2 linked regions of the Danio rerio genome follow. The protein of the gene in region 2 binds, or shares a complex with, the protein of the main gene of each other region. Links are inferred from orthologs where the notes say so. Each region holds a gene or a part of one and is shown on either strand. Other genes may lie near its edges.

Region 1 (4,312 bases), on a different chromosome or scaffold from region 2:
TTAGTGCTGTATTGTTTGTAGTTTAGGCTGACAGCATACAAATACATTATAACCGATTAATTTACCAGACGATATAACAAATAACAACCTGCAAAAGTTAGACAGTAATATACAAATGAAGCACACAAACAAAAATATCGTATCTATCGGTCTACCTAACTGACAACATAACAAATGGCATTCATTATAAACAGGCTACTAAAGAAGATAACAGAATACACAAACTAGAAAAATATGGATTCAAAATGCTAAAGTTAACAAGTCGTCTATACAGAAATCTCCATTTCCATCCAACATTCAGTACAATCAACAGTCTAACCGAAGAAAGACGTGGAAAAACTAATATACTACTCTGAAACGATATGACAGAAAGAAATACTAAAATATTTAGTGTATTCAACCAAAATCTCGTCGAAACAACAAAATATAACCTAAAATTATACTTTAAGAGAGATCTTTACATACCGCTAATGTCAGCGATGGCCAGACACTTAATGAAGGTCACACTAGTTTCTCAACGTCATTTTTCGAACACATTCTTTTTTAGAACGCCACTGACTATGGTAACCACAGCAACGCCACCGCACCGCCATCTTATGAGTATTTAAATAATAGCAACTGTGATTCTCTGTTTGACTAAATTTCGTATGTTCATATTCTATTTTGCATGCATATAAGTCTTATTTTTCAGGCATATAGTAAATTTATCTGTATCTAACCTGTATGTCTAAAAATAAAATATAGTTCAGTTTAAGCCACCAGAGAGCACTGTAGCTTCGGTCCGTGAACGGAGGAGCTGCTATTTTATCGGATAGAAAATACAATAACGCTTATATTTAATAACTGATTATAATTGTATGGTGTGAAAAAAAACCTCCAGTTACCTAGAAGAAAGCTCAAACGTGTAATGTGTATTTTATGTTATAAAAAGATATGTAAATGTATACCTTTATCAAAATACTCTCTTTTTTTACAGTTTTATAACAGTTAACAAAAACAGTTTATAAAAAGTAAAGAATCACACCTTATTATTATAGTACAAATTCTATACAATAATGTAGAATAAAAAATACATTATATCTGAATAGAGGAATTAATAATAGCGAATATGAAATAGTAGTGTGCTATGTATAATAATCATAACTATGAATAACACTAATACAACATTGCGTATACTATTGGCTAAAAGGAACGTATAAAAGGTTATTTATTTCAGTGGCAGTGACTGTTTTGCTGCTTAGTGTGCATATGAATATACAGATTATTATATTTATATGAACCGTAAGCTGTGACCGTTACCATTTTGTTTTGACCTTGTGGACTATAGGTGGAAAATGTGTGTGCTTACTACAGAATGTGTTCATTTCTCGCACTTGTATGTTTTTGATCACTGACCCGTTTGCTTGATTTGATTGGATGGCCGATGTTTGTCTCCGCCTACAGTATGCGTGTCCATGGCAATCTAACATGGCTGCCCACGGTAAGCAAAACGGAAATGTTTTGGTTTTGATAGTAAGTTTATTGGTTCACCTTAGTTGCGCATATTTAACTTAAATAAGTGGGCGACTTTAATAAACCAGACCCAGACGTTTTTGAAGAAACAAGCGGACTAATAGAGCAGAATGTGCACTTTTGTTTAGGGTGGAAAGTAGGCATCACGTAGCCGATTTTAGCCATTTAAAGCACGCCTGTCTTTTTTCCAACAAATAGATGTTATTTTTTTTATTATATTCTTGCATAATGATTAACTGCCTGTTGATCTTACTTCAATGCTTAATCTGTGTGTGTTACTTAACCGCGTGTTCACTAAATGTGTTCTCGCACTTGTCAGTATTGTTTTGTACAAATTGTGCTTGTGGGGCAGCTATTGTCTTCAACACTTTAAATGCAACCTATTTATTTTCATCTTTAAAAAGTCGTGTTTTTGAAAAAACATAGGTCTAATGAGAATTTTTATAGATAACCATATTACTTTGCTAAAAATATTGATAACCACTATTACTAGTTAATTGGGGCAGAATACCCGATTAATTTCAACACTGTGTCTTAAAATGAGCTGTATGAAAATCTTAAAAAGGCTGTTAGTTATAGTGGTAGGATGTGTTTACTTTGCAAAAAATCTAATAATATAAAACTCTATCCATTTAATTTTGTAATATACTTTAAAAAAAGCACCTGACATTACTGTCTTATTAACACTACCAACGATGCTGCTCAGGTATTCTCTGTAGATACAACCAACACATTTTAATGAAATTTAAATCTTTCCTTTGTTCTTTAGTCATTAATGTTGTTCACAAATGCTTCATGTCATTTTAAAGGGATAGTTCACCCAAAAATCAAAGTTCTGTCGTGAGTTGTCCTGGTTTCAAATCTATATGAGTTTTTTTTCCTGTTAAACAGAAAAGTAGATCAGTTAAAGAAAGGTCGAAACCTGTAACCATTGATTTCTGTAGTTTTTTTTTTCCCCGATGGAAGTCAGTGGTTACAGGTTTTCAGGTCTTTTCATATTTTTATGTTTAACAGAAGAAAAATAAAATCTTGTAAAAGTTTTGAACCACTTAAGAGTAAGTAAATAGTGATTACATTTTTTTGGGGGGGATGAACTATGCCTTTAAAAGTACACTGTCCTGTAACTTTGTACGTTTATTTCATTTTCAGACTCATCTTTATTTTATACTAGAGTTTGTAATGTAAGAAAACTTTTAACAAGTTGGCCTGGATTATGGCTTGAAACATTTTAACAAAGACTTTTGAGGAAGAAAATGAGCCACTGACCCAAAACAGCATTGTATATGCATGCCATGTGCAATATAGGAAGCTGGTTTGTGAACTCTGATAGGCAAACTGACTGTAATATTGAATGAATGCATACAAATTCACAAACCAGCACATTCTCACCTGTGAAAGATTTATGCTATCTATATTTACACTATCTTTGGTTATAAAAATGTCAGTGGCAGTGCCCCCCTTTTCTTCTACAAGTAGAGACTGCACAATATTGTGGCATCTTGAAAAACTGCATTACCCATTCCAAGATGGCAGATGCATAAATGAGACTAAAGGACTTTTACTTTTAGACCTATGTTATTTTCACTAATTCAGTATTTATTTTCACTTTTGCAGGAAGACAACCTGTTGTATCTTTTCAAGCTGTTTTTTTTTCTTATTATTTACTCGTTTGTCTTTGTTTATTCTGTTGATATTGCTTCTTAACAAAGTACCTCAGTTGTCGTCCACACCACTGCAGATCCTGTTTCATTTGAACGGCTGGTATTTTGCTGCATTTTTCGTTGCTGAGATTCTTATGTTCATTTACAAAGGTGATGTATGGCCTCTTGAAATATTCTGAAAATTTGTGATTTTATTTGTCAAGTAATCACTGTTTGCTCTGACATTTGTAGGAGTGATACTCCCTTACCCACAAGATAATCTGATATTGGATGTTGTCCTGCTGCTCCTCTTCTCTGGCCTTGAAACACTCAGACTTTTCTATGGTCAGTGCCTTATAAAGTTGTTTAATCTGCTTTAGTTTGTAGAATCGTTCAGTTAGTGCACTGAAATTATGCTCAGTCAGAACTTCAGAAGACCTTGTGAAGCAGTGTTTGACGATGCTCAAAATTTAGCAATAAATAAAGTGTGCATTAGTCGGGCCTGCTTCTTCAGCAGTGCTAGTTCTAGAAGTGTTTTTTTCTTCCCCATAGGACTTTATAAAAATGTTTTTTGAAAAGTGCTACAGATTTTTGAGCTGATCATTCCGTCAATTAATTAACTTACTCAAACGTGTTTTGTTACAGTTTTTATGTTATCTTCTTTGGGATTATTGAATAATATGTAAATGTCTAGACGATTTGAGATACTATATAAAACTATAAACACAATAACTTGTCTATAGAGAACAGGAATTTGACGTAACTGTGTAATGCATTCTGGGTGTTTAGCACAAGAAAGCCTGATTCCCATTGATCTCTACTGATTTTTTGTATCATATATATACACTCATCGGCAATAAACAGGAAGTGTTTGTACTACAGGTAATGAAGAAAATCATATATGCAGATGTTTTCTTGCTGCAGCTTGGGTAACTTTTAAGATTGTTACTTTTACTTGAGTATAAATTTTGTATACTCTACCCACCTCTGAAAGTAATACTGGTAATAATTTTCAACATCTTTTAGTGGATGCATTATATGAGATGCCTACCGCAGCTTAGTTTTAGGGATAGTAGAATAAATCAATGCACTGTGAATCAAGAAATGATTCTTGGATCGATTCAGAAATTTCCTGAATGCATTGCGATTCTCCTGTAAAT
Region 2 (3,566 bases):
ACCCAGGATGGATATGAATGTATTCGTTGTCCTGGAACTGTGGGGAAGGATGGCAAGTGTCAGTGTCCTGAGGGAAGTGTGCTGGGTAGGCGCTTGTCATTTTTACTAAAACAAAAAATACATGCATTAATTGGACAGACTATATAAAGACTTAGTTATTTTTCCTGAAAGCTATAATTCAAACATGTGCAATTTGGGTAGATGGTTAAGAATTACTTAATATTTGATGGCATCTGATTGTTTTTTGTAGTGGAGAGAGATGGGAATGGCAATCCCTTAATTGAAGCAAGGTGTCAAGCATGTAGTGCAACAGATCCTGCTTTTTCTGCCCCAGATATGAAAGGCAACAGGTAACAATGCTTTTTCTATAACTGACTTTTTATGTTCTTAATGATTTTAAATTAATAGCTCACCTAAAAAAATTGTGATTAAATTGTGAAAATTTGTGTTTTTTTTACTCACCCTCAGACCGAGATGTAGGTGTATTTTTATATGGTTAATAAATTAAATGGAGAAAAAAAAAGGAAAATCTAATTAAAGGGATAGTTCACCCCAAAAAAACATTTACTCACTATTTACTCTTCCTCAATTGGGTCCACACCTTTATTCTCTTGAACACAAAAGAAGGCATTATAAAGAAATGAAAACCTGTACTACGGACTTTCATAATAGGAAAAAATGCATTGGTTCCTGTGGCTCCTCATGATTTAATGATATTGCATGAAGTCTGTAACAATTGGCTTATAATTAATACCCAAATTATAACCATAATTGCATCTGAAAATCTAAAATGTTCTACTGAAGAACAAAAATCACCTAAATCTTGGATGGTTTGGGGGTAAATTAACAGCAAAGTTGTATTTTTGAGAGAACTATAATTTTTAACATTGCATTACATAATTTATTTTGAAATAATTTGGTTGGGATGTTTATATTTAGGTGTGAGAGATGTGGGGACTCATTCATTAACTCATCTCAGTCTTGTGTTTGCGGCACTTCGAATACGCTGGTGAGAATCTCAGATATTTGGTGCATTTGTTGTTTACATTTATGTATATGTTTATACGATGCTGTTAAAAAGACAAGATGAGAAAGGTATGATTTCATCACACTGTTAACAGGCAGGAGGAATGTGCTTCCCTGCGAACAGTCTGCCTACCTCAGTTGCCTCAAGTGTTATTTTTAGCCAACTGGTAAGTGTTCTCTTTAACATCGTAAATAGTTTGTTTGAGTGTTTGAGTAAGCTTGAATCAGTTGTCATAAAGTGTAATGTGTGTTTGTTTTACACAGACTCTCCCTGTCCAGTCAGCATGGTTTTCAAGCTTCATGTATTCTTCGGCCGCTGCATGTTTGGTGCATTTCTTCACACGTCTACTAGTCTATTTTAAATGTTTATCCTTTATGTTTCACCCATTTTAAGCTGTGTTATTGTTCTTCTGTAGTTGTTCTCTAACCGGACTGCATGTCAGTCTCTGGGAAACATGTGTGTTATGAACATGCACTCATCCAGCTCCATCAACAATGATGTCTGTGGTCTCTACAACACAATCTACAGAACAACAGCTGCTCAGGGCAGCAGCCAGGACATCTCCTACTGGTAACATACATGACATGATTACATAATGATTATTGCTATTGATGTGGTGTCTGCTGCGTCTTTTGAAACCACTCGCAAGCCTTGAGGTTTAGATTTCAGAAGGTTTTTTTCACTTTGTCAGAAACAACAAAGCTGCGTCAATCTTCCTGTCTGAGTTAGCATATTTTTATGCAGGTTTTCCTCACATACGTCATTTGTGCCTCCAGACATGTATCCTTTTCACCTAGGAATCATATGTTCAAAATAGCAGTTAAATGCATAACCTGATTATAAAAAACTCGATTATAGTTCCACAGGCCTCGTTTCATACATGGTTCAGATGAGAAAGTAACATGATTATATATTACAGACTCTCCCTCAGGCCCTTCATGGATAGATAAGACATCTGAACAAATTGTAGATTACGCACATGGCAATATTCCTATTGACTATACTTCATCCTAAGAGTAAAATCTTCTTCATTCTGCACTTAAAATGTCCAGATAACTGATAATCTTTGGATTTGATAATCTTTTTTTCTTTCAATCCTATCAACTATTTTAAAAGAGATTTAAACCTGGAGACTGAACTTTAAAAAAACATATTACAGCAATCCTTGATTCTTTAAGGTGATTGTTTGTCTGGATAGTAAAATGATCATTAACCATAGGCATGGCAATTTTTGCCAATGTGGTCTGATTTAAATCCTTGTTGTTCGTACATTTTTCTACTTTCTGCATCCCTATATTCCCTAAATTCTACTTTTGCCCCATTGGTCCATAAAACATGGCAAATTAACCTGCTTTGCTTGACAATGTTGTTATTCTAGGAGGACAAACCTACCTTGGCTGTACTATGGAGATCAACCAGGGATGGCATCACAGGCTCTTCAGAATGAACCCCTTCCTGTTGGATTCAGCTTTAAAGGGGCACAAAAGGTAAACACTGGACATTTAAACGTAAACATCAATGTAGTATTTTTTCACCAATCGTTCTGCTGCTTTCAGAACACCAACATTGAGTTGCGAGCTGCTGTGTACTCAGTGCGTGGAGAGTTTCTGAGATGGGAAAGCGTTGGTAGAGGCAACCTTCAGGTAGGCAAGCAGGACTGGTTTCTCTTCTGGGGTAAAATCCATGAAACATTCTGAACTGCTGTTTTCTTGATAAGATTATTAAATGATATATACATTTACAATGTTTGTTGTTAATTTTAAGGTGAATAATTAATTTGTGCATGTAAATCCACAAAAAACTGGTTGTTTTGGTCGTCTTTAATGAAAGTCTTGATCATTTTTTTTCTGCTTTTGGAGTGACAGTCCAACCTGAGGGCTTCCATAGCAACCGCATATTAATACTCTTTCTTACGATTAGCTTGCTATGAGGTAGTGATATGCAACATGAAAGAAAGTACATCAACATACTGAAATAAGTCTCAGATAGTTCTGATACTTTCCAATATGTTACTTTATACAAGTTTCATGTCTCACCAGAATGTTTCATTGATGTTTTAGCTTAAAATACATAATGTATAAAGAATTAATATCATTTAACATACTAATCTGATAAAAATATCAAAAACCGACATCAAGCTTATTTTTAAGTTTCTATGTGTCTCTTTAAATGCAAATTAGCTGCTGCTCTTTCCAGAAAGTGAAGCATTTTCAACCCATCTCTTGATCCTCTCACAACAAAATGTCTAAATGTCTGTTGCAATATCAAATGTGCTTATGTGACATTGAAGCTCTTCAATCAGAAGAAAGTTTATTATTTGCTTGTGTTTTAAAGTCTTGTCTTTAATTTATGTATCTTCTAAAGCTCTGTCCAGACACCCCTACCAGACAACAGTCTGCCTTCAAATTCGGGACAGCCTACAAGCAGAGTGTAAGTCTCATTTATCTTCTGCCTCAACCAGATGGTATTTAGCTATTTGTTTTGTATGTAAATATGTAAATGTGTATTTAATGGCATTTTTCTTTCCACAGTGTGTGCT

Evidence for each region. The genes of interacting proteins can lie anywhere in the genome.
Region 1: tmem67 (region 2) and tmem216 share a complex: the UniProt entries of both Homo sapiens proteins name them as parts of the tectonic-like complex. The link is inferred for Danio rerio from reciprocal best matches to the Homo sapiens genes TMEM67 and TMEM216.

The regions. Positions count from the first base shown.
Region 1 is NC_133189.1:29,311,842-29,316,153, reverse strand, and holds the start of tmem216 (transmembrane protein 216), read left to right. Parts: upstream 1-1,456; 5' UTR 1,457-1,467; coding exon 1,468-1,480; coding exon of another isoform or gene 1,481-1,497; intron 1,498-3,126; coding exon 3,127-3,140; intron 3,141-3,229; coding exon 3,230-3,323; intron 3,324-3,404; coding exon 3,405-3,497; intron 3,498-4,312. UniProt on the Homo sapiens protein: Part of the tectonic-like complex which is required for tissue-specific ciliogenesis and may regulate ciliary membrane composition.
Region 2 is NC_133191.1:30,690,298-30,693,863, forward strand, and holds part of tmem67 (meckelin), read left to right. Parts: coding exon 1-85; intron 86-250; coding exon 251-350; intron 351-939; coding exon 940-1,009; intron 1,010-1,121; coding exon 1,122-1,193; intron 1,194-1,290; coding exon 1,291-1,353; intron 1,354-1,442; coding exon 1,443-1,597; intron 1,598-2,405; coding exon 2,406-2,514; intron 2,515-2,583; coding exon 2,584-2,670; intron 2,671-3,391; coding exon 3,392-3,457; intron 3,458-3,558; coding exon 3,559-3,566. UniProt on the Homo sapiens protein: Required for ciliary structure and function. Part of the tectonic-like complex which is required for tissue-specific ciliogenesis and may regulate ciliary membrane composition.